Linked DNA regions of Astyanax mexicanus. The protein of the gene in region 2 interacts with the protein of the main gene of each other region in a pairwise test. Links are inferred from orthologs where the notes say so. Each region holds a gene or a part of one and is shown on either strand. Other genes may lie near its edges. The genes, in order: elk4 and srfb.

Region 1 (12,593 bases), on a different chromosome or scaffold from region 2:
ACCCCACCCCTACCCACACTTACACACCAACTCACCCACCCACAGCAGACCTGGAGCTCGGAGGCTAACAGGCTAACTGGCTAACAAGCAGAGAGTTAGAAGATCTAAACTGACTGCAGTCTTCCCTTACCTTTTTTCCCGCCTCCTTTTTTTTTTTCATTTTATAGTTTATCCAGATGTTTGCTTTTCTTGGTGCTACACTAAGCTAAGTCGAATCTCAGGGATGTGATTGTTCAGCTCAAAGCAGATTTCTGGTGATCCGCTAGGCTCAGGCCCAGGCCCAGCTGAAGCTTAGCTAATTGCTCCGTTCTCCGTTCAGCGGGGGTGAAAGTTGCGGGAGGTTTTGTTATGGAAGCTAATGTAGGTCAGCTGAGGTTTGAGATTTGTTTTTGTATTGACTTTTCACTTAATTTCACAAAAAAGAAGAGATTAGGAGGGTTTTGAAGGCAATCCAATGCAAAATTAAAGATTTGGAGAGATTAAGTGCTACATTTGGGTGCTAAATGTCTGTATTTTGCGAGTATTCCCTTAAGTAAGTCTGTTCAGACGGGAATAGTATGTATAGTAAGTAGTATTAGTAGTTTATTATCAAGTCAAGTCTCAAGTTAATGGTTTGGGCAGGAGGTAGCACAGACATGAGCTGAATTAAGGTTAAGCGATTATAGGGCGATTATAGTCTCAAGACTGCCGTAAATAATAATAAATAAAGACCAATGTAGAAAATAATAATAATAATAATAATAATAATAATAATAATTATTAATAGACTATCATGTTGTTTCATGGTGAAGCCAAGATGAAGATCCCCCGCCTTTTTAGATTGTGGCAATATGCACTCATATAACGTGAGCTTTTAATGCAAAATAATGCAATTAAAATGCAAAAATATCTCGACTGTCGTGGAATAGTATCAGTTTTATAGCACTTAGTGTACTCTGCGGAGTACCGCCCTCTGAACAGTTCAATCAAGACAAAGTCCAGTGTGATTGTCGTTACACCTATGTATTACTCTACATATTATTTACATATTCATATTCATATTTCTCTCATTTTCTTTTTTTGTTTTGTACTGAAGTAGGAAGTACCTACGAAAATGCTACTAATCTGTAAAGGACGTTTTCTTGGCCCAATCACATCCCTGATTGAACCAGAAGATATTCTCACGTTGAGTATCTTCCAACTTTTCTCCTGTGCCTCGTTAAATATGTATATACAATATAAGTATATACACATCTCTCTCTCACTCGGTCGAGAGAGGCTATGCCAAACCAGAGCTCCCTTACATACATACATACGTTTGTTATCTCTGGGACTTTGGGTGAGTGACTTCACTATGTTTATGGACAAAGTTGCTCATCATCATTATCATCATCGTCGTCATCATCGTATAAATATATATATACGTATATACACGTACTGTAATACAGACCTATAAGCTAGGAGCAGTTTTGTTCTTTCTCCATGTAAAGTATCGTTTCCTTTGAAAAGAAAAGCTGCTTCCTTACATTATCATAGTGTGCTTTTGCTTCTGATCAATGCATTAACAATGAATACATGGTGCACTTCACTCAATAAGCTACGTTCAGGAGGACAGCCTACTGCCGTAATGTCCTGATTCAGAAGGGGGCAGCTGATTGTTGATTGTCTCGTCGATATGAAGCTATGGGTCGCTGTGTGAAAGAGTAATGAATCATCAGAGACTGTTACTCGCCATCTCTTCTTTATCCGGGTGACTGTCAGTGAGTTTTCTTCACTGGGGAGGGGAAACGGCTCATTCATTCAGAAAGTCACAGCGCTGGTTAAAGAATGAAAGTTTATCCAGCTGAATGATTTCTACACCTGTACTCCCTTTTTTTTTGTTTTGTTTTCTTTCTGGAAGTTTTCTGCCATCTTGCCTTTATGCTTTATGTGTTTTTTGAATATGTAACTGGGCTCATATTCATAAAGCTTCTCAGAGAGTAGGCGTACTGATCTAGGATTCGATTTCTTGCTTATTTGTTGCTTATTAAGAGACGTCACAGTACAAAATTCACCATCATAACCAACAAAAGTATTTTGAAGATTTTGATTTTTGGAGGTGTAAATATGAAAAAAAGCACCCTGTGCAGCTAACTTTTTACTTTTTATTTATTCACCCAAATTAGCAGAACCAGTTAACACCTTAGACCCTGCTTGTAGACATGTTTTATATTAGGGCTGCACTATATATCGTTTAAGCATCATCATCACGATGCACAGCTCTGTCTCTGTGTTTGTGTGAGTGCTGCTGCCTGAGAAGGGGGGAGGGGGGGTCAGGGGTAAACACGAGGTAACCGCATGGTACTCATTATGAGGTTTTACTTCAACCAGAGTCCATTTCATACCAGTTATCTCCTTTAACAAAAGGAGACCCAAAATTGAACCCTGTGGGATCAATGAATAGATAATAAATATAAGATTCTAGGGGTTAACCCACCTACCCAACCACCCACTCACCAGGACAATTTTAAGGCAATTCACGGCACATTAATGCAGTAGGATGATAATAATTTAATGCAGTGTCTGGCTGTGTCTTGTATCTCTAAACAACTGTCAAAAAAAAATGGCAGAAAATCTTTTGGTTTTTTTTTTATTGTATATTGTGTATATTATACATATTTTATATTGTAAACGTTAAAATTAAAAGTAGAATTTTACTGCTTTAGTGTGCCCTGAATTGCCTTGCCTTTGTTAATTGGCTTCAAATGTGGGGAAAAAAGGGTCTCATTCAAACTGCAAAATCAAAGAGAAAAAAGTTTTTCCCTTTTTCATTTTCTGATTTTACATTTAATGATTATCATTTGGATACTACATACACCGACCCATCAGATATTTGCTTCAAGAGAAGATACATATTTAATAATTTTATAAATACTGTTTGAGAAAGCCAGAAATGAAGCTAGAAAATAAAAAAAAAATAGATGAAAACCTGTTTCTTTTTTTCAATATTTGATGCAAGTTTTTCATATGATTTTCAGTTCTTGGTCAGAAAATTGAGCTGATAGTAAATCTTACATCACTAGGACCCAGCCAGTGGGAGCATGGTTAATTGTGCTCTCTCGGGCTCCGGCTGCTGATGCTGAAGCAGCTTGACCTGCTAATTAAATGTGCAATTCTGGGGCCATATAGCCACAAAGTAACCATATAGTGCACTATTTCTGTAATAGGGAGCAATTCAGAACACAGGTCATGTTTACATTAGGTCAGCTCAGATGTTCTTTATGGTCAGTGTTCTATGGTCTGCCCTCTGGTGCTATATAAAACAGTTACATCTACACACTGTTGTACTTAATGCATTTGAAGTACCAACAATTTAAGGAAGAATTTCAACAAGTTTTATGAACCTTCTGACCTTCTGTCCTTTTTCTCATAAAGAATGATCTACAAGCAGCACAGGCTTTTAGAACGACCTTCACAGTCGCCTGACTTTAACATCATTCAAAACCTGTGGGTGGGAGCAGTCTAAAAATATTGCAGAACTAGAAGCACTTAGAAGTGAAGAGTGGGTGAAAATTATTTTTAAAAAAAAGAGCAGAAAGACTCTGAGCTAAACTGACTAAAAATGCTGTTAGTAAGTAATTATTGTTATACGTCCGATCTCCAAAAGTACAAACTTCTGACGTGACTTAGAATCAGAATTAGCTCTTATTAACAAGACCCTAGATCAGCGTTCCTACTCTGAGAAGCTTCATGAACGACGGCCCTTAAATTGTTCTTTTATTTTTGACAATTCAGTCTTTCTGTGGATTTGTATAAGAACGCTATTGGTAATAATCATGAATAATTGCCATTCCCTTCCTGTTTTGACCGCAAACCTCACCTGTTATGTAGCAACCGGCTTAACCTGTTACACAGTAACTGAATTCACATGTTACTTTGTAACTGATTTTTCCTGTTACATGGTAACCAGCTTAATCTGTTACAAAGTAATTGATTTTGCATGTTACTTGGTAACTGATTTCCGTTGTTACATAGTAACTGAATTCATCTGTTACATAGTAACTGGCTTAACCAGTTACATATTAATAAGAATTGCATTTGAATTTACTTGGTAACTGAATTCAGTTGTTACGTAGTAACCAGGTTAACCTGTTACATAATAACAGAATTCATATTATGGTCATTGAATGTGGATATTTCTTAGTAACTGAATTCAGATTAACCTGTTACATAGTAATTGAATTTGCATGTTACTTGGTAACTGAATTCATCTGTTACATGGTAACCAGATTAACTTGTTACATAGTAACTTGATTCATCTGTTAGATAGTAACCAGATTAACCTGTTACATAGTAATTGAATTTGCATGTTACTTGGTAACTGAATTCATCTGTTACATGGTAACCAGATTAACCTGTTACATAGTAACTTGATTCATCTGTTAGATAGTAACTATGAATGAATTAATCTTTTACATAGTAACATAATAACAGGATCAATTTGTAACATAGTAACTGAATTCATCTGTTACATTGTAATTATATTAACGTTACATTGTAACCAAATTCACCTGTTACATAGTAACCGGATTCACCTGTTACATGGTAAATGAATTCATCTGTTACTTGGTAACCAGATTAAACTGTTACATAGTAATCACACTCACCTGTTACATGGTAACCTGGATATTACATAGAAAAAAAATGTTTCACAGTGTGGAACAGGCTGTGTTTGAAAAAAGCCCACTAATGTAAAGGTGCTTATTTTGGTCTCCTGATTCTTTTGATTGGTTGACAATGTTTCAGTGTTTTTCCCCTACGTGTTCTCTTGTTTTTTTTTGGAAGAGAAGTGTGCTGTAAAGAGATTGATCTCCAAAACCCCACCCCCATCCATACCCCAGCCCTCCTGTCATCTGCCTTAACAGGAAATTCATTAACATATTAATACTTTTCCTTTTTCAAAGCAATCCAATGTAGCTGCTCGACTGTATAGCTGGAGACGTGTAGGTTATATTTTTGAATAACTGAGAAACAAAAAAATGCTATTTTCCTATGTACAACAATAAAACAATAAGAAACAATTGGCTGAGAAGCTAACTTGGCATCCATGATGTTGTTTTGGATTAATCTTAAGCCATTGCAAATCTGTCTTTTACACAGCGCTGGGGTTGTTTCATGGATGAACAGGTTTTGTAAGTGATCTGAGATGACTGGCATAAGCTAACTGCAGTTCAGAATGTAAAATACAGTCCCCTGTTTACAAGCCTGTGTTGGGTTTTGTCTATTTCTGTGTTTTTCTGTTATTTGCTGGTCTTTCCAAACTGCTGGATCAGTAATGTGGCTGTAAAGCATGTGGGAAAGGAATCTTAGCGTGGCTTATTGAAGCTGGAGCGCCTGTACGACAGGAATGTCTGGCTCTCTGTGGTTGATTTTTGAGAGCTGGAGAGGGTTTGGAAGGCGTGTCTGAGTGTAACTGGCAGGTTGGGAATTCGGAGGTTACTGTAGGTTGGATGTTCTGTTAAAACAGGGAAATACATTAAAGAAATAGACTATCATTTTTTAAAATACAGCTTTCACAAGTTTTTAAGTGTCACCAGGGTAATTTTTGCTAAAATGATGTGCAAAAATTAAATTTAAAAGGAAAAACTGCCTTAAAAGTGTCTACAGAGTAAACTTAATCCATTCGGTTTACTTTGAAGTTTTTTGCAGTTTTTTTCTGGCTGAAATAGGCCCTTTTTTGTAATATCATTTGATAACAATGCATTATCCAGTGTTTTGCACATCCAAACACCATGGAAACATGTCAATAGATAGACATAGTACAGTACTGTGTGTACAACAGATTTTTTAATGACACACAAATAAGTTAAAGTGACAATACACAGTGTAAAACTACTGCTTTTACTACTGTTGATGTGCAGTGCAGCCAGCTTGGATCACCAACCCAACTCAAATAATAGTTGTACTATTATTTTAGTAGTTCAAACAGAACACTTACCTAGGACTGTTTTGTTATTGTGTGAAGAGTTTTTAACATAATTGTCATATGATTTTGACGTTTCCTGAAAAACTTAAGTTAAAAAAATAGTTTATAAATATAAATAAATTATTGATTTTTTTTAACCAGCGCACTGTGCAAATTTCACAACTTTTCCAGAAAGTTGTAAATGGGCCTTAAAATCTCAAAATCACTTCTTTATTTTTGCATAAGTGTAGTAAGGTGGTTTACAACAGGGAGAGAGAGAGACAGACAGGCATAGAGAAAGGTAGAGACAGACAGGGAGAGAGACAGAAAGAGAGAGAGCCCGACAGAAGAAGAGAACAAGATAGAAAGACAAAGAGAGAGAGAACGACATAGAAAGAAAGGGACAGACAGAGATAAAGATACAGACAGACAGGCATAGAGAAAAAAAAGGTAGAGACAGACAGAGAGAAAGACAGAAAGAGAGAGAGCCCAAAAGAAGAGAGCAAGTTAGAAAGACAGAGAGAGCAAGGGACAGAGAGAGATAGAGACAGACAGATGGAGCACGAGAGAGAGACAGAGAAAGCGAGGTAGAACAACAGACAGACAGAGAGACCGAGAAAGAGAGCGACAGACAGAGAGACGGAGGCTGATGGAGAGACAGTGAGCGAGATAAAGAGACAGACAGAGATAGAGAGAGCCTGATGAAGAGAGAGAGACAGACAGAGACAACAGACAGAAAGCAACAGAGAGACAGAAAGAGAGAGAGAGAGCAAGAAAGAGATGGCGACACAGACAGAGAGAAAGAGCGCGAGATAAAGAGAAAGAAAGAGAGAGAGACTGATGGAGAGATATAGAGCGCGAGAGAGAGTGAGAGAGTTTAACTTCCTGTTTTTTTTGCAGCACAAAACACTGCACTGGGGTGGGATTAGCAGTAACTCTGCTGGGTTTAGTGCTGTTCTCTGGTCTATATGACTGACCAGCGGCTGTTTTACGCGTTAAATCGCGATAAATTCTATATTCGTGGATGGATTTAATCTGGGAGGTAAGCGCGAATGACTGACTGCAGTGTTCCCAACTACTGTACTGTACTGCACTGTGAGCTGCTGACAGGCTAGCTGGAAAGGTGGCTAGCAGGCGTTAGCTTACAGGCTAAGCTAAGCTTCTTTTGATATGGTTAGGCTAGCATGCTAACGCTAGCTGTTCTGTGGGTTTTGTATGAATTGTTCGAAAACCTTTTCAGGGCTGTGCGTTAAGTCTATAACTAGAAATTTAGCGTTAAATTAATGCTAACTGACAAGAGTTTGCTGTATTGTAACGTTACAGAATGGAGTAGGTTAGCAGGCTAATGCTGCTAATGTTAGCTAAACTGGCTAAATAGGTTAGAACATTAGCTACGCTAGCTAACCAGTTAACTACATAAATAATCTGTTATAGCTAGTTAGTTAACTAAAATGTTGGTAAAAACAAGCTTACTGCATTGTTTTGTGCTTGTTTCTGCACAATTCCAGTTTTAATCTGAAGTCTGGAGTATTTTAGGTCTTCCCTGCTAACAGTTAAATGTGTTTTAGTTCAGAAATCCAGAAATGTGTTTTAAGAGTTCAGAAATCCATATTTGGTGGAATAACCCTGGTTTTTAATTACAGTTTTCATGCATCTTGGCATGTTCTCCTCCACGCGTCTTACACACTGCTTTTGTATAACTTTAATTTGGTAAAATCCAGGAAAAACAGCATCATTAAGTGGTCTTTTATTTTTTTCCCAGGGCTGTATATATATACATTCTCTGTAAAAATGCAGCAGCCACGATCTGTAGCCAATTCATTAGGAGCACTGTACGGCTGCTACACAATTAATCTAATATTATTGAAACAGAAATATCAGTCCAAATGTTTATGAAATGTTACCTCCTTTTTTTCTGCCACCAAAGCCCTCAAATCTACTCCTGGCCATTTTCACTGTACTCACAGTCTTTTGCTTTCATTCTGCCGTAAAAGTGACACAAATTGTAATCTGGCCAATTAGCTTTGCGTTGCAATGTATCGAATATGTGTCATATTTCAGTAACAGATCGGATTTTAAAATGTCAGATTTTGTGTGTTTTTGCTGTTTACACTGCTACACAAACTGTGTATCTGTGTCACATATGATGCCTTCTGGGCACAGAGTGGTCCAGCGGTCTAAGCGCTGCCATGTGATTGGGAGATTGCTAGTTAGAATCCCGGTCATGCAGCTTGCCATCAGCTGCCTGAGCCCTGAGGGAGCACAAGTGGCCTTGCTCCTAGGGTGATGTTGATCAGCACAAGGTGTCTGTGAGCTGATGTATCACAACCAAGTCACTGCGCTTTCCTCTGAGCACGCTGTGATGCTACTCGTTCAATGCTGCATCAGCAGCAGTTCTAAAAGAGGCATGCATGTGTCTGAGGATGCATGTCTTTACCCTCCTTAGGTTGTGGCATCACTTGTAATGAGGGGATATATAGCTGAATAGCAGCTACAGTGGCTGCGACAGTTGGCCTAGCTAAATTGGGGAGAACAATGGGGTAAATAATGAAAAAAGAGGCCTTCTGTAAAATATTCTACATTTATGGTGCCACAAGAAAAAGATGGTAGGCATGGCACTAGAGATTCATTTGAAAAGACATGATGTATTAATATATTGTTGATAATAATATATTGGTGTAATCCAACCTATAAGGCCATGTGGAATGATGTAAAATTTTCTTTGCTGAATTTGCTTGAGGTAATAATAATAAAAAAAATCATATATATAAAAATACTGATTATATCAGCTTATGGCCTACATTTCATACCAGCTTTGTATAATCATAAATACAGACTGTGGTCTTTAAAAGTCAATGATCCAGCATGTCACAATATTAATAATTAGTAAATGCACCAAAATGAGACTTTTGGCGTGAATTAGAATTTGTATAAAGTTTTCATGTTCAATTTAAATTGTCATGCATGATTTTGCACATTCTGAAAAGTGGTCATGTACTGTGCATCTTGTGATTGTGTACATCCAGATTGTGATGTTGATGCTGAAATTAGATATGTTGTGGCCCTAATATGTTTACTAAAACTAATTCCACTGATTATGTAAGTATAGATACAAGATACACTATATTGCCAAAAATATTTACAGACTAACTGGTATTCCTTTTTCTGTCTGGGTTACTGGAGGTGCATGATATGTTTCTCATTTATATAAAACTAATGGAAGTGTCTTATTTTTTCTCAGCTTGTAAAGACAGACAGCTAACAAGTGATCTTTGCTCTTCTGACACATTTTGTTACACCAGTTTCTCTCAGCAGTGTCTGTTTGAGGCTTATATCTCCACCCACATGTTGAAGTAATGTTATGCAGGACTCTGTCTGAGGGAGGGGTGAGGAGATGCCATCCTCTCTTCTACTGTCTGGGCCGAATTCCTCTCATATTTTAAATTTATGAGCATGTTTGTGTTTGACGAATTGCACAAAAGCCATTGTACGTTTGTCAGAGGCTGTTATTTTTTTTAAAATTATTTTTAAGCTGCAGTGACAGACTGAAGTTCACTTTTTTAATAAGAGTTTGATACAGTTTGTAAACAATGAATGTCCCAAGAGGATCTTGCTTTCACTTCCCAGTTTATGAGGTTTGTGTATCAGAACTTATTTAAATCCATTATGCTTTGTCATGTTTTTGGCTTAAGATGTGTGCAACTGCATACTATAAGGGTCACTACCAGTCAAAGTTTTAGAACACCACTGTTTGTTTTTGGTTGTCCAGCAGCAGTGCTGTATAGGGTTGAGTGATATGGCCCTAAAATAATATCACAATATTTCATGGTATTTTCGCGATAACGATACTCTTGGCGATATGAAAAAAACTGAAGAAGAAAAAAAAGCATACACTACTGCAAATAAATGAAAATTAAATGTTATTCTTGCCTGTGATATGATATGGCACACTGAGAGAACTAAGAGATTAAAATAATACAAGAATTTTATCAGATTTGTAACTGAAGTAAATGATCCAGAATGTCATAATACTAATAATGCACTCCAAATATCTCCATATAGGCCTATCCAGGATTTCGGTTTTACGGTGACGGACTCAGTTTCTCCGTGGCTGTGTGTACATGAGGTCAGAGTATGATATCAACGCATGGGCTTGTAAACAGTGTTGTTTTGAATCATTGATTTGTGAACAGATTCACAGAGCGTCTAAACGCCACACATGATAATTCACAAAATATTTTTTTTGGTCAGTGCCAGTTTGGAACTAAGCTATGTTGGAGAAATATATCTGAAAGTTGCAGTATGTTCTTACGGTGAATTTACACTGCTCCGACGCGACAACGCACAGCGACGGATCCCATTCATTTTCAATGGGAAGCGCCGCCTCCGTCAGACGCAGTTGCGCGGTGCATCATGGGTCCGACGCGTCGAGAGCGGGGGATGCGATGAAAAGTTGAGCCGAGCTGAACTTTATGCAAATGAGTCCGTCCAACGCAATGCGTCTATCCAATCAGAGAGCAGGTGTTGGCCTGTAACGCGTCCTCAGCGCAGCGCATGAAAACATTTTAGTTCCGCTTTCAAGCGTCCAGAGAAGCCTTTCAGGCTTCCCTGTGCTTTATAAAATCCCTGCTGATTCACAGGGACTCTGTCAGCGAGGAGAAAGGCTGCTGTGATTGTTGGGGTCTCTGGTGGGCTTTTAAAATGTTAATATGTAATTTAATTGGAAAAGTTTGCTTTTTTCAGCTTATATACTGTTCACTAGACAGTGTAATAAAGCTCATTCAAACATTTATATCTATAAAGACACATTTATAGTTATTAATTATTGGAAATAATAATAGCTTATATAAAAAGCATTTCCCATTTATTAAAATGATTTAATTGGACGACGCAGGGAACGCCTTTGTCATGCCCACATGCGACCGGTTGGAGGGGGGTAGTGCGAAATTCACCGTTACTATTTACAATAATATGGTTTCCCATCTCATCAACAAGCTTCGTTCTTGTACTGAAACCCCAAAGGAGAAATTTAAGGGTTAATGGCTGCTCTCTCACTCTAACCATGGTCACCAAATGACCAAACACAACAGCTTACATATGTTCTCACTAAATATCAGAACCTTCTACTAGGGGTGCGCAATATTATATCGTATACAATATATCGTGACACAGAAATATCATGATATTAAAAATCCATATCGTGATAATAGGGCTGTTCTGTCTTAAAAGTAGTCTATTATTTACTGTGAAGCTTTAGGTGTATTTATTGTATAACTGTTTTAGTTTGCAGTATATATGCATGCACTTAATATTCTGCAATATTATTTGCTGCATTATATTATTTTATGCTATATTATTTATTTTGCCACATTATGATTATACTGTTATACTATTATACTATACTTCTGAAATGAATGAATTATTTTAGTTTTCCTATATCGCCAAGTATATCGTTATCGCAAAAATACCCTAAAATATCGTGATGTTATTTTAGAGCCATATCGCCCACCCCTACCTTCTACATTTACATATTTTGCTTCCCAGCACTGTATGTATACAGTATATACCAGCACTATTGAAATGTGTTGGCATCATCCCACAGTTTCCATGTCAGTGGCTAGTGCACTAATGCTCAGTATATTAGTGATGTTCAATATAGGGTTATATTTTTCTACAATTCTGGCCGCTCTCCAGCTCAGTCTTGTACTGTTCTGTCTCAGTTTCAGCACTGCTATTTTTATGTGTTGTATCTCCGTCAGACGGTGTGTGGGAGACTCTCTCTGTTTGTGTGCGGCTTCCAGCTGAGCGTATGGGGCGAGTCCAGGCCGATTTGGTTTTTCTTTAAGCCGCTTACTCACACAGACACAGCAACAAGGCTGCAAGCTTCTAGCACTTCCACAGGATTTGGCTGAAGTCAATACAATTTGGGCTTTTAATGCGGCGTGAGGTTTTTATTCTTTGTACAGCAGGTCAGTGTGAACACAAAAGCCTCATTATTAACATGTTGGGCTGATCAGAGCAGGCCTGCACTTCATTATTGCTGCTTTTTTGGCCTTTGTTTCACTTTGGTTTCATCATTTTAGCACCTTTTTAATCAGGGTGCTAATTGTGTAGGCTTTTGTAGGCTGAATGGTGGGGCTTAATGATGAGTGTAACGATGTTTATCTAGACCACCTTGAATTTTTAATCATGTTACAGAGGTGAGTAAGGTGAGTTGATCTTAAGAAGTCTTGCCCAGAGACTCTTACTGGTATAGGCTGGTGTGTTTGTATGGGCAGCCAATCAGACAGAAGATCCCAGAATATTTTGGTGCTGTCTGACAAAATGTATGCATCTCCATTCTTGTTTTTTTACTTTTTGACTTAATTTTAATCTGGCACTTGTAGGCATGTAACAATAATTACATCCACAGTTATTGATTCTCGTTTAATGATATGAACATAAGATGGAAAGCTCGATCAGCTACGTATCTTGATCTTGAGAGCCGATCAGTTCATATTCGGGAGCTGAGGTTTACAGCAGCACTTTATGGTTCACTGGCTTCAGGGAGCTGCAGTTCCTTGTTCCACTAGATGAAACTCTGGAGCACAGCTCCTGACACTCTGCAAGGCCAGGGCTGAAGGCTCAGCTCGCTTTGGCCGGAGATGTTTTTATTTTCTGTGCTTTATTT
Region 2 (12,829 bases):
TATATTTTCCATTTGCCCTTTGTAAATGGAAAAAGCACACCTTTTCCTCCAACACAAAAGAACAGGGTTGTAAATAGGTTCATAAAACCACATCTGGGCATACTATTTTTAGACTGAAGAACAACTTAAAATGCTTAAGAAACACATTCCACTGTATCTAAGTCTTTGTTGTACGGTTGCCAATTTGGCTTGAGTTTTATAGACACCTGGTGACAGTAAATTAACACTGGTATCTGATTAGGTTCGATGTCTCCCTTTTCTTAAGAGCTATGAATAATTGAACTGTTGGATGTTGAGCTGTTTACAAAACCAATATAGCTAAAGAGAGAGAGAGAAAGATACACACTACTTGAAGTCATGCACCTGAATTTGGTCAGTGTCATAATGAATGTATCAGGAAATTAAAACGCTGCCCCTGTCACAATAAATCTAGATTTTAAACTGACTGTCAGCAGCCCTGGTCAGAACTCATCCCTCTCTGAAGCCCCTGCAGCGGGAGGCAATAGCTATTGCTAAGACAAATGCTTTGCTTGCTTAAAATAGATAGATAATGGAAGAGAAGAAATCTGAGGTTGTCCTTTCAGATTTATACCCGTTTCATTCAACTGACTGAATGACCGATCCAACAGCTTTGCTTATGGTTACTGATTTCCTAAAGAAAGCTACATATATGGAGTTCATTTGGATTTTTGCTTCATTTTTGTTCTTTTCACAGCAATAGCCGTTTCATCTAGAACCAGAATATCTAGAATCTGAGGCTTGTTCTACCTTAAGTGAAAACAACAAAAGCTCTCCTTACTTTTAGGACACCGAACAGTTTAAATGTGTAACTACTACTGTTTAACTGGATGACATTCAGTACATATTGAATTATATTGCAATAAATAGTGTATTGTGAAAATGTTTAAAATATAAACATTCAATCAAGATCATCTAACCATATCACTTTGCCATAAGAATTTACGTTTTTGCAAATTTTGGGATTTTTTTTTTTTATTAATTCAATAATTACACAAATATTGCCAAAAATATTGTAAAAAGAACCTTTTTTTACACAAGATAGAGGAAGAAAATCACACACAGCTTTTCAAAAGGTTGCTTTAGACATCTATATATCGTGTATCTAAAACTGGTCTGTAAAATGGCTCTGCACAGCTCTCCCGCAATTGTCTGTTGAGTTTGCACTCCTAGATCTTGATATTGTAGCCCTCATAAGGTGGGCCTCTACTTGGCCTGCCCAGCATCTCTGAACTGCAAACACCACATTCATAATAAGGTGGCTTTATAGTGCAAATGCTTTGTATGAATACATACACAGACTCATTACAGTAGCCTATGGAAACATTTAAATTGAAAACCTGCTACTTTTTACTACTACTCTCTTACTACTACTACTACTTTCTACTATCTACTCATAACCCTGCATGCTAAAAGGATGTGCTGCATCAAAATGTCAGGATCACACCAGTGTCTCTGGAAGAGGGAGAGACGGTTGCCTGGACACAGCATCATTACTGTGCAAAATTGCAGGGGCAAGGTTACAGTGTGAGGAGCAATGAGGATAGTGTTTGGTCCATGTAGATTCTGCTCAAAGGCAGAAAATTACTTCATCTCCCAATCTTAAAATTGCACTACCTGAAAGTGTGCTTCAAGATTACCAACCAAAGAAATGTGCAAATTGGTATCATAAGGCACATCCTACAGTCTTCAGCCCACACAAAAGCAGAGAGTCTGAGACTGTGGATGCTGCGTTCCAATCTGTTGCTGTTTTTGAAAAAAAGAAAGGGAAAAAAAATTGATTGTACTGAAGACTTTAGCTCAGTTGGCCAGTGATTAAACACGTACATAAACTCTCCTTTGTTTCCACAATAAAAAGATGCAGGATTATGAGCCAGCAGACATGCCATTAAAAAAAGAAGAAGCTTTCTCTGTCTTGATATTCCTGCTGTTGGAAGATAACCTTTATTTTTTATTTTTTATTTCTGCTGAAGCTGAATTTATGTGTTGATGGTTGTGCAGGAATGCTAAAGCTGCGCACAGTTCTGGCTTTCAGCAAGAAAACTTAGAAGCATCGGCATGCTGTACACAACTGTACACATTACCTGAATGTACAGGCAGCCATGTGCTGCATCGCCATCACCAGAACAAAGGTCAGTTTACAGAGCTGCATTTATTACTGATAAATATGTAAAGAAAAAATGTAAACATCCCACAACTGTAACATGTTTGTACATTTGTTTCCAGCAAACCAATGGCCTAAAAGGCCTGCTCTCCTGAGCCGTCAACCAGCTTTCTGGTTAAGAGCAGATTAACAATTATTTATTTTACCAGTATGTTTCAAAACACATTTTTGCAGTAATTGTGGATATAGGCATTAATAAAAATGCAATGGAGTAATATTCTGAATTAGACTGTGACTCCAGAACAAATAGGCTTATCAGACTGTGTGAGGCCTGCAGTTGGCTGCTGGAGAGAGGAGAGCACGCAGTAACATTCAAGTGGTTATGAGCATCATACAGTGGGAACACTGCATTCCTGAACTCTTCTGCTCTGACATCAGCAACCCCTTCAGACAGCTGTCACCATGCAGCATGCAGAAAGAGGTGCTAACTGACACACTGACCAGAAGAACGAGGACAGGTGATCATCTGCTACAGGTCATTAAGACCACAGCAAAAGGCCAATATAAAGGGAAAGCACTTAGGACTGAGAATGCACCCACATGGGTTCTGTGTTTTCAGATATTTGCTGTTATTCCTTTTACAGAATTTTGCAAAGCTTTTTTCAGACCAACAGACGGAGTAATATACACTTTATGTCCAAAAGGTTTGTGGACATCCCTTCTACTTTTAGCTGCTTTCATTTGCAGCTAGTTTTCATTTGCACAGATGAAACAGATGTGCTAATGCACACACAGCTTGTTCCGTCCCTGTAGAAAAGTACTGTCAACAGAATAGGACCCTCCGGAGCACTTAAACATGTACCCAAGTGCATTCGATCATATTCACAGCAATAAAAAGTAGCCTAAGTATTATTTAATGATCACTATTTAAAAGTATTTTAAATAAAATAATGTAATAAAAGCACTGAATAACCAAAGCAATACACTTTCTTGAAAGGTGCTTTAGAAACAGTATTGTATTGTATACAGAATTGTATTTTTTGCCTAAAAGTGCACAGTACTGGACTGAACATACTGTACTTTGTGTACATTTGTGCTGCTGTATTAAAATTGCTGATAAACATTTACAAAGGAATGTAACACTTGTTTACAGAAGCTTACAAAATGATTATTAAAATTCCATTTGATATATTGGTCAAATCTTAGCATCTCTGCATCTATAAGATAAAGATTATTAACAAAAACAATGGAAAGTTTAAACTTATTCTATACCATAAACATAACAAGAGTACTGCAACACTTCAACAGTTTTTACTTAAAATCTACTTTTACTTACAATCTTATTACTATCAGCACATCCAATACAAGGGACTTACATTTTAAAGTGTCTTTATTCATTCAGTATGCAAAGTGCTCTTGAGAAACAGCCATAGTAAAAGGCAGGAGATCTGGTAGAGGGCTAAGTGGTGGTTTAATATAATTTATTAATAATAATAATAATAATAATAATAATAATAATAATAATAATAATAACATTTCTATAGCCTACTCTTGAGAAAGGGGTTGCATGCCCACTGGGCCATGCTTCTCACACGTGGCCCACATGTGGATTTAAAAAAATCTTAATTAGACAGGCAAATGAATGATTAAACAAAATTGTGTTCTTTTTTCTATGTATGCATTTTACTGTTTTAGCTATTGCCTATTCTAAATAACTTCCACTAATTTCACTGCACTCACTGTACCATTCCATGGTATATGTACTGATGTAGACTGAGCAAGTTTCTTGTTTATAGTGTAATACACTTGAAGGAGTGTCCAATCACAGATCAGTCCCCTGACCCATACCAGGCCTATGGGAAAGAAAGCAGATGTGGAGTTATCTTCAGTGTATTGGTACTGAGCCAATGACCTGTTACAGTGAGCCTGCACAGGTCACCTGCAATATACTGAAATATGGCCTTCAATTTCCCTTGTTTCTTAAAGCCCTAGAGCTTTATTTTTCTTAGAAGTAAGTAACTGTGTATGGATTAATGTTCTAACAGGCTAGTCAGAGACTAAACTCCAGCCATACCTTGCCAAAGCACATACGAGGAACAATGCAATGGCAACTATTCCGAAATTGCATTCTGAAATATTTGGGTTAAGCTCCATTGATGAAGGATACTCTTCATGTAGGCCAAACCCTGAGCGTGTGTGTGTTTTTTTGAAGAAGGGTGGCGGTGGTCAGAAATAGAGAATGTCAGTTGCTCTAATCTATTTAAAGCTCACAGCCAGTGGGGTCTGTTGTGACTTCCAGTCACCATGTGCCAGAGGAGAGGACATGCAATACTGCAGTCCTCATTACAGCAGAAAGCGAGGGAGAGAGAGAAAACATTAGAGATGAGAAAAATTGCAGTGGAATGACAAAAGTCCAAAAGTCACTTTCTTTAAGACAGTTTGTTTACATCCATAGTTATATACAGAGGTTATATGAATGAATTGAGCAGTTTTTGGGGCATTTTGTTATGCATTATTGTTTGGGCACTGCTACTTCAAGCACATGTGGAGCTCACATGGGTGAAAGGCGGGACAGGTGGGTTTTAGGTAGGCATGGGGTGGTTTGTATTGCATGTGGTTTTACAGGGACCCCGTTGAGCTTCCCATATGAGCCAAATCATTACTGCCCACTTTAGACTTAGTCTTACATGGGTCTCAACTTTGACCCTGATGGGGCCCAACACTGACATTTATATGTGGGACCAACATGAAACCCATAAACCAAAGTTTCTGGTTTACAGTTGGGATATTTCCCTACCCATTCAGGCCCCACGTGTGCGTGTTATCCGTGATCCCAGGTGAATGATGTAGGTTATTATGTATTAAAATTAAACAACACTCCTAGTAGAACTTGCACTGATGTTGGGTGAGTTACTTACTAAATAAAGACATTCGGTGTGTAAATGGGGAAACTGTCCAAACAGAAAAGCTCACCTTTTTCATGATGCCCGTCTTTCTTTTGCTGAAAGTTGTGTATCGCCGCAACTTGTTGTCTATGAACTCCATCTTAATCTTAACGCGTCCACGTGTTTTCTTGCCTGGCTTTGCTCCAGCAACTCCGCCGGCCACCACACCGTAACCCCCCGGGGGCACGCCAGCCTCCTGGCCGGGCATGGCACTTTCCATTTCGGCCCTTTCCCGCTTCACCCCCCTCCGGCTGTCTCCAGCCATGGGTTCGTCGTCGTCCCCAGAATCGGAGTCCGCGTCGGAGGCGCTGCACCCCTGTGGACCCCCTTCTTTATCCCGGTCAAACCGACCGGGGATCCCCACTAACCCTGCGCCCAGAGCCCCTAAGCCCACCTGTGCGCTGAGCCCGCCGCCACCGCCGTTCCCGGCTCTGACGCCGCCTCTCCCGGGCCCGTTTCCCCCCAGCATTCCCACGGGAGCCCCTCCGAATGCAGCGACGTTCACCCCGGCTACAGTCTGAGCGCCTGTCCGCGCGAGTCCCGGCCGAAGCCCGCTGCTGCCCACCACCACAGCCCCGTGTACCACCGCCGCGCTGTTCCCTGACGCTGACCCGTTTCCACTCAACGCCGAGCCAGCCTGGCTGGATAACATCCTACACCGGGGGAAAGAAACACCGCTACCGAACGCTACAGCTACCAGAACCCCAGTCAGTCAGTCTGCGGTGGGCGAGTGTGTGGTCAAGCCGTACTGCGGGCACATTCAACACAAACCCAAACAAACACACGCAGCGCAGCAGCAGCACAGCCCCTCACTCTCTCGGAATGAGCCGGGAAAGCCTGAGTGACTGCCGGAGCGAAGTTTCCAAACTGATGCTGCCCCTCCAAACCCCCTCAACCCGCTACAGCCTCGCGCCGCTCTCACCCCCCCGCTTTCCACAACTCACCGCGCACTCTCTCTAAAAGGAAAACACGAAGCGCGCCCCCGCGATTAATCCGCCATGTCATGTAGTTCACACCGCAAACCTGTAAAATGTCGACCGCGGGCCGCTTAAACACACCACCCTCACAGGCCTGTCCCACCGCCCCTAAAAACACACGTTCTTACGCAAAACCGTAAACGTTTATGCATTTATTTCTCTAATATTATTCTCCGGCTGTGGAAGAATCTGTCCGTGCAGAGCTATCGGATCTACTTTCCTCCATATAAAGAGATACAACGCTTCCTTATAAGGAGTTCTCTCTCCTTATTTGGCGAGTCACAGTGACGCCCTCCGATTGGTCCGTGAGGGTAAGTCTCAGCACGCCATTGGTCAAAGCGCCTTGCTCATTTGAATACATACCAAAACGGTTGCGCTCACGGCGACGTCATCGAGGAGGCAGAGGGAGGGAGACCCCACTTACTCTGCTGGGCATAAATTATTTTGGAATATGAATGACACACACGTGCAGTGTGAAGTAAATAAGCTCATCCAGAGAACAAAATTGCAATTTCTAACAATTTAACACACAAGTATTTTTTGTAACCCCCATGCCAATATAATAAAGACAATTTTCAGCAAGTTCATTTTATGGGTCTTTTTTTTAATAACTAGGCCTGCCACAATAATTGTTGTGGACAATATATTGTCCCAGACGTTATAACGAGAAACAACATTACTGACATTTTAAGACAATTGAAATCTCACTGCCATAATGATAATATAATAGAATAACACAGCAATACGACAAAAAATGTCATTTAAATCATAGTTTGGAAAATATATACTTTTTTCAGTCACAGTTATTGAAGCATTGGTCATTGAATTACAATACTATTTTATAGGTCAACAAACACAAATAAACGATACACCATTGTCAAAGGTTTTGTCCATTTATTGAACAATAAGTCAATGATGTATTGTTGTGACAGGCCTACTAACAACCACTTAATTGTATATGTGAAGTGCATCTGTGATTTTGAATAGCCACTAAAGATTATTTAAACTCACGAATAGGCAAAAATATATTATAGTAATATATTGTAACTTTTTATTAATTGTTTATTTAGTATGCTTAGTCACCAATTACAGTACCAGTCAAATGTTTGGACTTTCTCATTTAATGTTTTTCTTTATTTGTATTATTTTCTACATTGTAGATTAAAATTGAAGACATCAAATCTATAAAGGAACACATATGCAATTATGATAATTATTATTATTATTATTATTATTATTATTATTATTATTATTATTATTATTATTATTCTCACAGTCCACTTAATGGGGTACAACCTGGAATGGGAACTGTCTACTACCCAATTGCGTGTGTGTTCCTTCATAGTTTAAGTCTTTAATATTAATCTTCAATGTAGTAAATAATGTTAATAAAGAACAAATATTAATGAGAATGCTTGGTTCTGGTTCTGTATATATTACCCATTTTTTAATAATCAGTTATATACATTTGGTAGGTATTAGATTGCACTTTCTGAAGCCAACATCAGGCCAACATAAGCTGACCATCAAACAGGTTTACAGCCAAAGTAAGCACACAGTCAAACACCGATTGACACCCGTCTATAGTTCATCAATAATGATAAACCCAATGATAAAGCCAACATAGGCCCACCATTAAACACACCGGATGACACAAGCCCACTTATCACACCCAAATTCACACCAATGTATGTTCACCATCAAGCACTAGTTGGCACCTATCATCACGCCACCTATCATCACGCCTACCATGATACATTGGTTGACACCCAATATCACACTTAAGTTGGTCCACCATTAAGCACCAATTGACATCTAACATCAGGCCAAAACGTACCTGGCCCAACATGATTTGCAAACATAACATGCTATCTGTGCACTTTCACAACCTTTGACACAACTCCAATAGACTACAGCAGTAGTGCATCTAGTTCCCATGGTAACTGTTATAAAGATGCAGTAGGTTAAGATAACAGCTACAAAAGTGGAGTGCAAAATTCATGGAATACTTGATTAAGAGACTTGATTTAGTGCTGTAAATTAATGTATATCTTTTTGCCTCTCAAAACAAAAGAAAAACAAAAAAACTCACTCAAAACCCCTATTTTGAATGTGAAGTGACAGGGCAGGCTCGGTGTAAAGCAGACCAAAACATCTTGTAATGGCCTATACTGGACTCATTTTATCACCACTCATTAAATTTTTATCCAACACTTATAAATAACCACAACAATTATATACCTACTTAAGTCATTAGCCCACATTAGAATACTAACAAGCTTGTGCAGCAGTGAGTAAACAAGCAAATCACCCTGACATTTATTTTAATTGATTGAAGGCAATTTTCATACTGGAGGGGTTCATTAAAGATGCACTAGACTGGAAAACTGTATTTACCTAAAAACAAAGCTATGCTACTCTGTGTCTACTCTCTGTGGCTCCAGTGTGCTGTAAACCTGCCAATTAAAGCAGAACTCATCTTTTTTTTTTGAGTCCTCTGAAAAAAGAAAATCAGTGTGACTAATTTTGAGAAAAGAACAGGGTTTTAATGGCCATTTAAACCACATCTGAGCATGTTTCATCCCAAACAAAGACATATATTTAGCTACTATTTTTACATCAAATAACAAATTAACATACATAAAAAATTAATCCATGGCAGATTTAATGTTCTTAGCATTGAGGCATCCCTGCTGAACAATTCTGCTAACGATCAGGGTGTGTTTGCTGAACTGAAAAGCTGATCAGACAGGTAAAACATTCACTATGATAATTAACAAGGTGGTAATTCAGCATTTGATCAGCACAGTGTATGATGCCTTTGATTTTGGTCAGGGATATACAGTTAGACAACCAGAAAGAGCAAGCTTAACTATGCTGGTTGACCAAGACTAAGACCATCAGATTGTAGACCAGTTAACCATCAACTTTAAACAAAAATACACCCTATGCTGGTCAGGATCTAAGCTGGTCATCTTGCATAACTAAAAAAATAATATGCTGCTATTAAAAAAAAAAAAAAAAACTAAAATTTGTCAGATAAGTGACAAGATTTTATGACCCCCAAAAACATGATGGTTAAATATATAGCTTATATGTGCGTCTTAATGTAATCTATATTTTATTAACATTTATTCCACATGCAAAAGCCTTAAAAGGAAGCTTGAACATCCTTCTGATTGTACACCCTGCACGGTGAAATAAAAGAAAGGCAAGGCCGCATTAACAGAGAACAAAAGACAGACCTAACACAAAATGCATTATTCAGTCTTAGGTGAGAGGGAGGAACACTTGAAGTGCTGAGTGTGAGAGCACACGGCTGGATGTCTTTTCACGGCAAAAGACGTAGGACTCACGAAGCGCTCCCACATCAGCAAAGAACACCTACTGATGACTCAGCTGACAGCAGGAGTAAAAGCTGTCGAGCACACGACCAGCCTTTTATGGTGGGAACCAGATAATGTCACATGAAGAGAGCCTGTGATATAAGTGCAATAATAATGAAGGAGGTCCTGCCTCCAGCTGCAGCTAGTATGAAACCGGCTATGTCCAAATAAAGCACTAAAAGCATTCCACAGTAAAGCATTAGTGATTTTGGAGACTTGACAAAAACAACTGAATAGTTGATTAGGAGCCTAATATCCACTGATTAGCCTAACAACCCCGGACAGGACACAATCCAGCTCACACAATATAGCGCCCTCTACTGATCAGATCAGAGCAATGCAGCAGTCATGTATCTGGTTCTAGTGTTCAAATCCAAATTGTTTTACCAGTAATAGAGATATAGGGATGGACTGGGACCATAAAACAGCACTGGACTTTTTCCTCTAAATAGGCTCGCCAGCTGTCTGGGGGCTATTGTTGTTTTATACACACACACACACACACACACACAGTATGTGATGGGATCTAGGAAAACCCTTCACACTGCGCACTGGCACATGTCTGGAAAAGAGAGAAAATGTGTTGAAAGGCAATATTTTTAGTTAATAAATTGGGTTTTTATTAAATTGTTACTCAATAACATCATGTCTGTCATCTAATCGAAATATGCTTGATTGACATTAAAAAGTTGAGTTTTTTTTATTATTGTTATTCTTTTTGGAACACCAGACCTTAAACCTGTTTTTAAACCTCAATTACATTTTTTAAACTCTTGTGATCAGCCAACTTTGGTTGATTACAGCATTTGATACAAAAAAGACAAAAAAAAAAAAACGATTTGAAATGAGCTTGAAATAGGGTGTCAGGTGAAATCAGAATTTCTCTTAGGTCTATTCCGTGTAAAAATTAGCCTGCTTTATATGTTTTTCATTTGTTTTATATGCTGCACTTTTGTTAGGGTATATATTAACCCTCAAAAACAGGCCTAAAACTAGTCTATTAAGAAATTACACAAACAACGCTGCTGTGATTGATTATGATACAAATCAACTTTAATAAAAATCAGCCTTTTAACAACAGCGAAGTTTGTTTGTACCGGTAGCTTATTTAGAATTAAGCAAATTAGAAAGAGAAGATAAAGATACATTAGTGGTGGGCGGTACAATAGAAAAACAACAGCAAACAGCAATTATTCACTCAGAAAAGAGACCCTTTAAAATAAATTAATGCTGTAGCTTGAAGGACAATTTTAATGTACATTGAATTTCATTTATTTGTTAACTAAAGAAAGAAGATAATTGTGGCTGATTTTAATACTGCAATGCCTTCAATAGCTTTATAATAGCATATTGTAAATTGATATTAAACGAGTCTAACTTGTGCAATAGAGCTTTGAAGAAATACATCTTTTGAATATATAAACATTGAGTATTTATGTCTGTTTATAGTGTTTAAGTAACGATTTAAATATTTCAGTTTAAACAGGAAGTTGTGTTAAAGTTGTTGGCATCTCTTTTTAAGGTCTATTGTTTACATTCCTTAGATGTTTTTCTGCTAATAAAGTCTAATTTCTTCATATATTGTGTAATTTTTTGGGACAAGTTAAACTTAGTATTAACCAAAGCCTTTATAAGAGCCTAGATATGCAAAATATATAATATTGTGGCGGCTCTGGGTTGTGTGTGTGGCTGCCTGTAGGCATGGTTCTGTTCTCCTGTGTGCGAGGATGACAGGGGTGGGGCATCTCCCTTGGGAGGGGTTATGCAGAGAGGGTGGGCACCACTCTGGATCTGCCATCTGGGAGACACACAGCTGGGTTGGTGGCCTTTGGGCTGTTGGAGCTCTGTGGGGTAATGGGTTTAGCTCTCCTAGTTTTGTTAAAGGCTGTAAGTGAGTGGCAAGCCTGGTCTTTAAAGGAGCTGTTGAGCGTTCAGCATGAGTTTCACGGGTCTTCCTTCCTCTTCCACGCCACAATATTAATAATACAGATACCGTGTTATACTATAAAACCGTCAGAATACCGTGATATACATTTTTGGTCATACCGCCCAGCACTAAAAACATGTCCCCTCCTTAAACTTTTGGATGAACCTAGTTAATAGAAGCTGTGAGGCTATGAGAGGAGTTAATAAAAGGCCTATGCCTGACCTGCTGTTAGATGCGGCTCCACTTCCTCCTCTGGTGAAATTCCCTCGCTGACTCTTCATCATCACCATCACGCGCTTCCTCATCAGCTTCAGTTTCCACCTGGTTCTCAGTCTCGCGCTGTAATTTAGTGCTTTAATTGTAAGACATTACTGCCGCTCTGTGAGCTTTTTACATTATTATGCGTTGACTTTAAAGGGACTTGACTTTCTTTAACTTTTCTCATCCTCATTTCTCCTCTTTCCACAAACTTAGCTACTCCTCTCCTACCCCGGAAGAAGATTAATTTAGGAAAGGAGGAGGAATGGAGAGAAGGAGCAGTGATTGAGTAATTGGAAAAATGGGACAGCGGATCCCTTTTAATATGACTACTTGACTATTAACTGAGCCAATCAAAACGCTCGCTTTCAGCTCCCCCAAGACTGCCCAGCCAATCACAGCTGCTGAAAACAGTCAGGCAAATATATGGTCTTCCTGTTATTTGTACAATTGTACTCCGGTTTATTGCAGAGAAAACACTACATTTCTGAAATTATGTGAAATATTTGCCAATCAAATAAAAGTGGAAGCCTTATTGTTTATATTTATTAAATTGATATATATATATATTTTTATTTGTTCATAAAAAAGTAATGATAGATGTTCTGCAGTCATGTAAGTGTTTTATACAGTTGTATTATTTCTTGACATACAAAAGTAAAAAAAAAATGAATTAATAAATAATTTAACTTGAAATAAAATGTGTACTAGGTGCTTTGTGGGCGTGACCATAGTGTTGTCACTCCAAAATTTTAAAAACATTTCCTGGGTAGGATACTGTGGTCTATCCTCCTTTGGAAGCCTTTTCGATGAGGATTTTAAGCGTCTTCTTTTGCCTCTTCCGGTATTTAGACAGGTGGCAAGATCGCGTCACGAAATCAGTTTGCAGGCCACAGAGAGGAGGAGACTCGTTGGGAAAAAGGAGCTACGCATTCTTATTTCACTCACCTTTGCTTGGCAATCTCTTGGTGAGCCGTCAACCATGCACTGCGCAGCTTGTGCGTCAGTGTCTTTGCTGTCGTAACAACAGAAAAACTACACCTTGCCTGACTCAGCAGAGGAAACCGAGCATTCACACTGTGAAAAGCTGCAAGAAGGTCGTTTAGAGGAACAGCAATATTATAATTATTTCTGTTTATTCTGTTTTTTGTTGATGTAAAAGTTGGATTTGTGTGCTGCACCGTGTGTGTAGGACTATTGAACGACTGATTGTT

The links.
Region 1: the proteins of srfb (region 2) and elk4 interact in a two-hybrid assay, tested with the Homo sapiens proteins (2 studies listed by BioGRID and IntAct). The link is inferred for Astyanax mexicanus from reciprocal best matches to the Homo sapiens genes SRF and ELK4.

Annotation. Positions count from the first base shown.
Region 1 is NC_064431.1:6,343,668-6,356,260, forward strand, and holds the start of elk4 (ETS domain-containing protein Elk-4), read left to right. Parts: upstream 1-6,343; 5' UTR 6,344-6,965; intron 6,966-12,593. UniProt on the Homo sapiens protein: Involved in both transcriptional activation and repression. Interaction with SIRT7 leads to recruitment and stabilization of SIRT7 at promoters, followed by deacetylation of histone H3 at 'Lys-18' (H3K18Ac) and subsequent transcription repression.
Region 2 is NC_064414.1:39,386,982-39,399,810, reverse strand, and holds the start of srfb (serum response factor b), read right to left. Parts: upstream 6,212-12,829; 5' UTR 5,720-6,211; coding exon 5,096-5,719; intron 1-5,095. UniProt on the Homo sapiens protein: SRF is a transcription factor that binds to the serum response element (SRE), a short sequence of dyad symmetry located 300 bp to the 5' of the site of transcription initiation of some genes (such as FOS).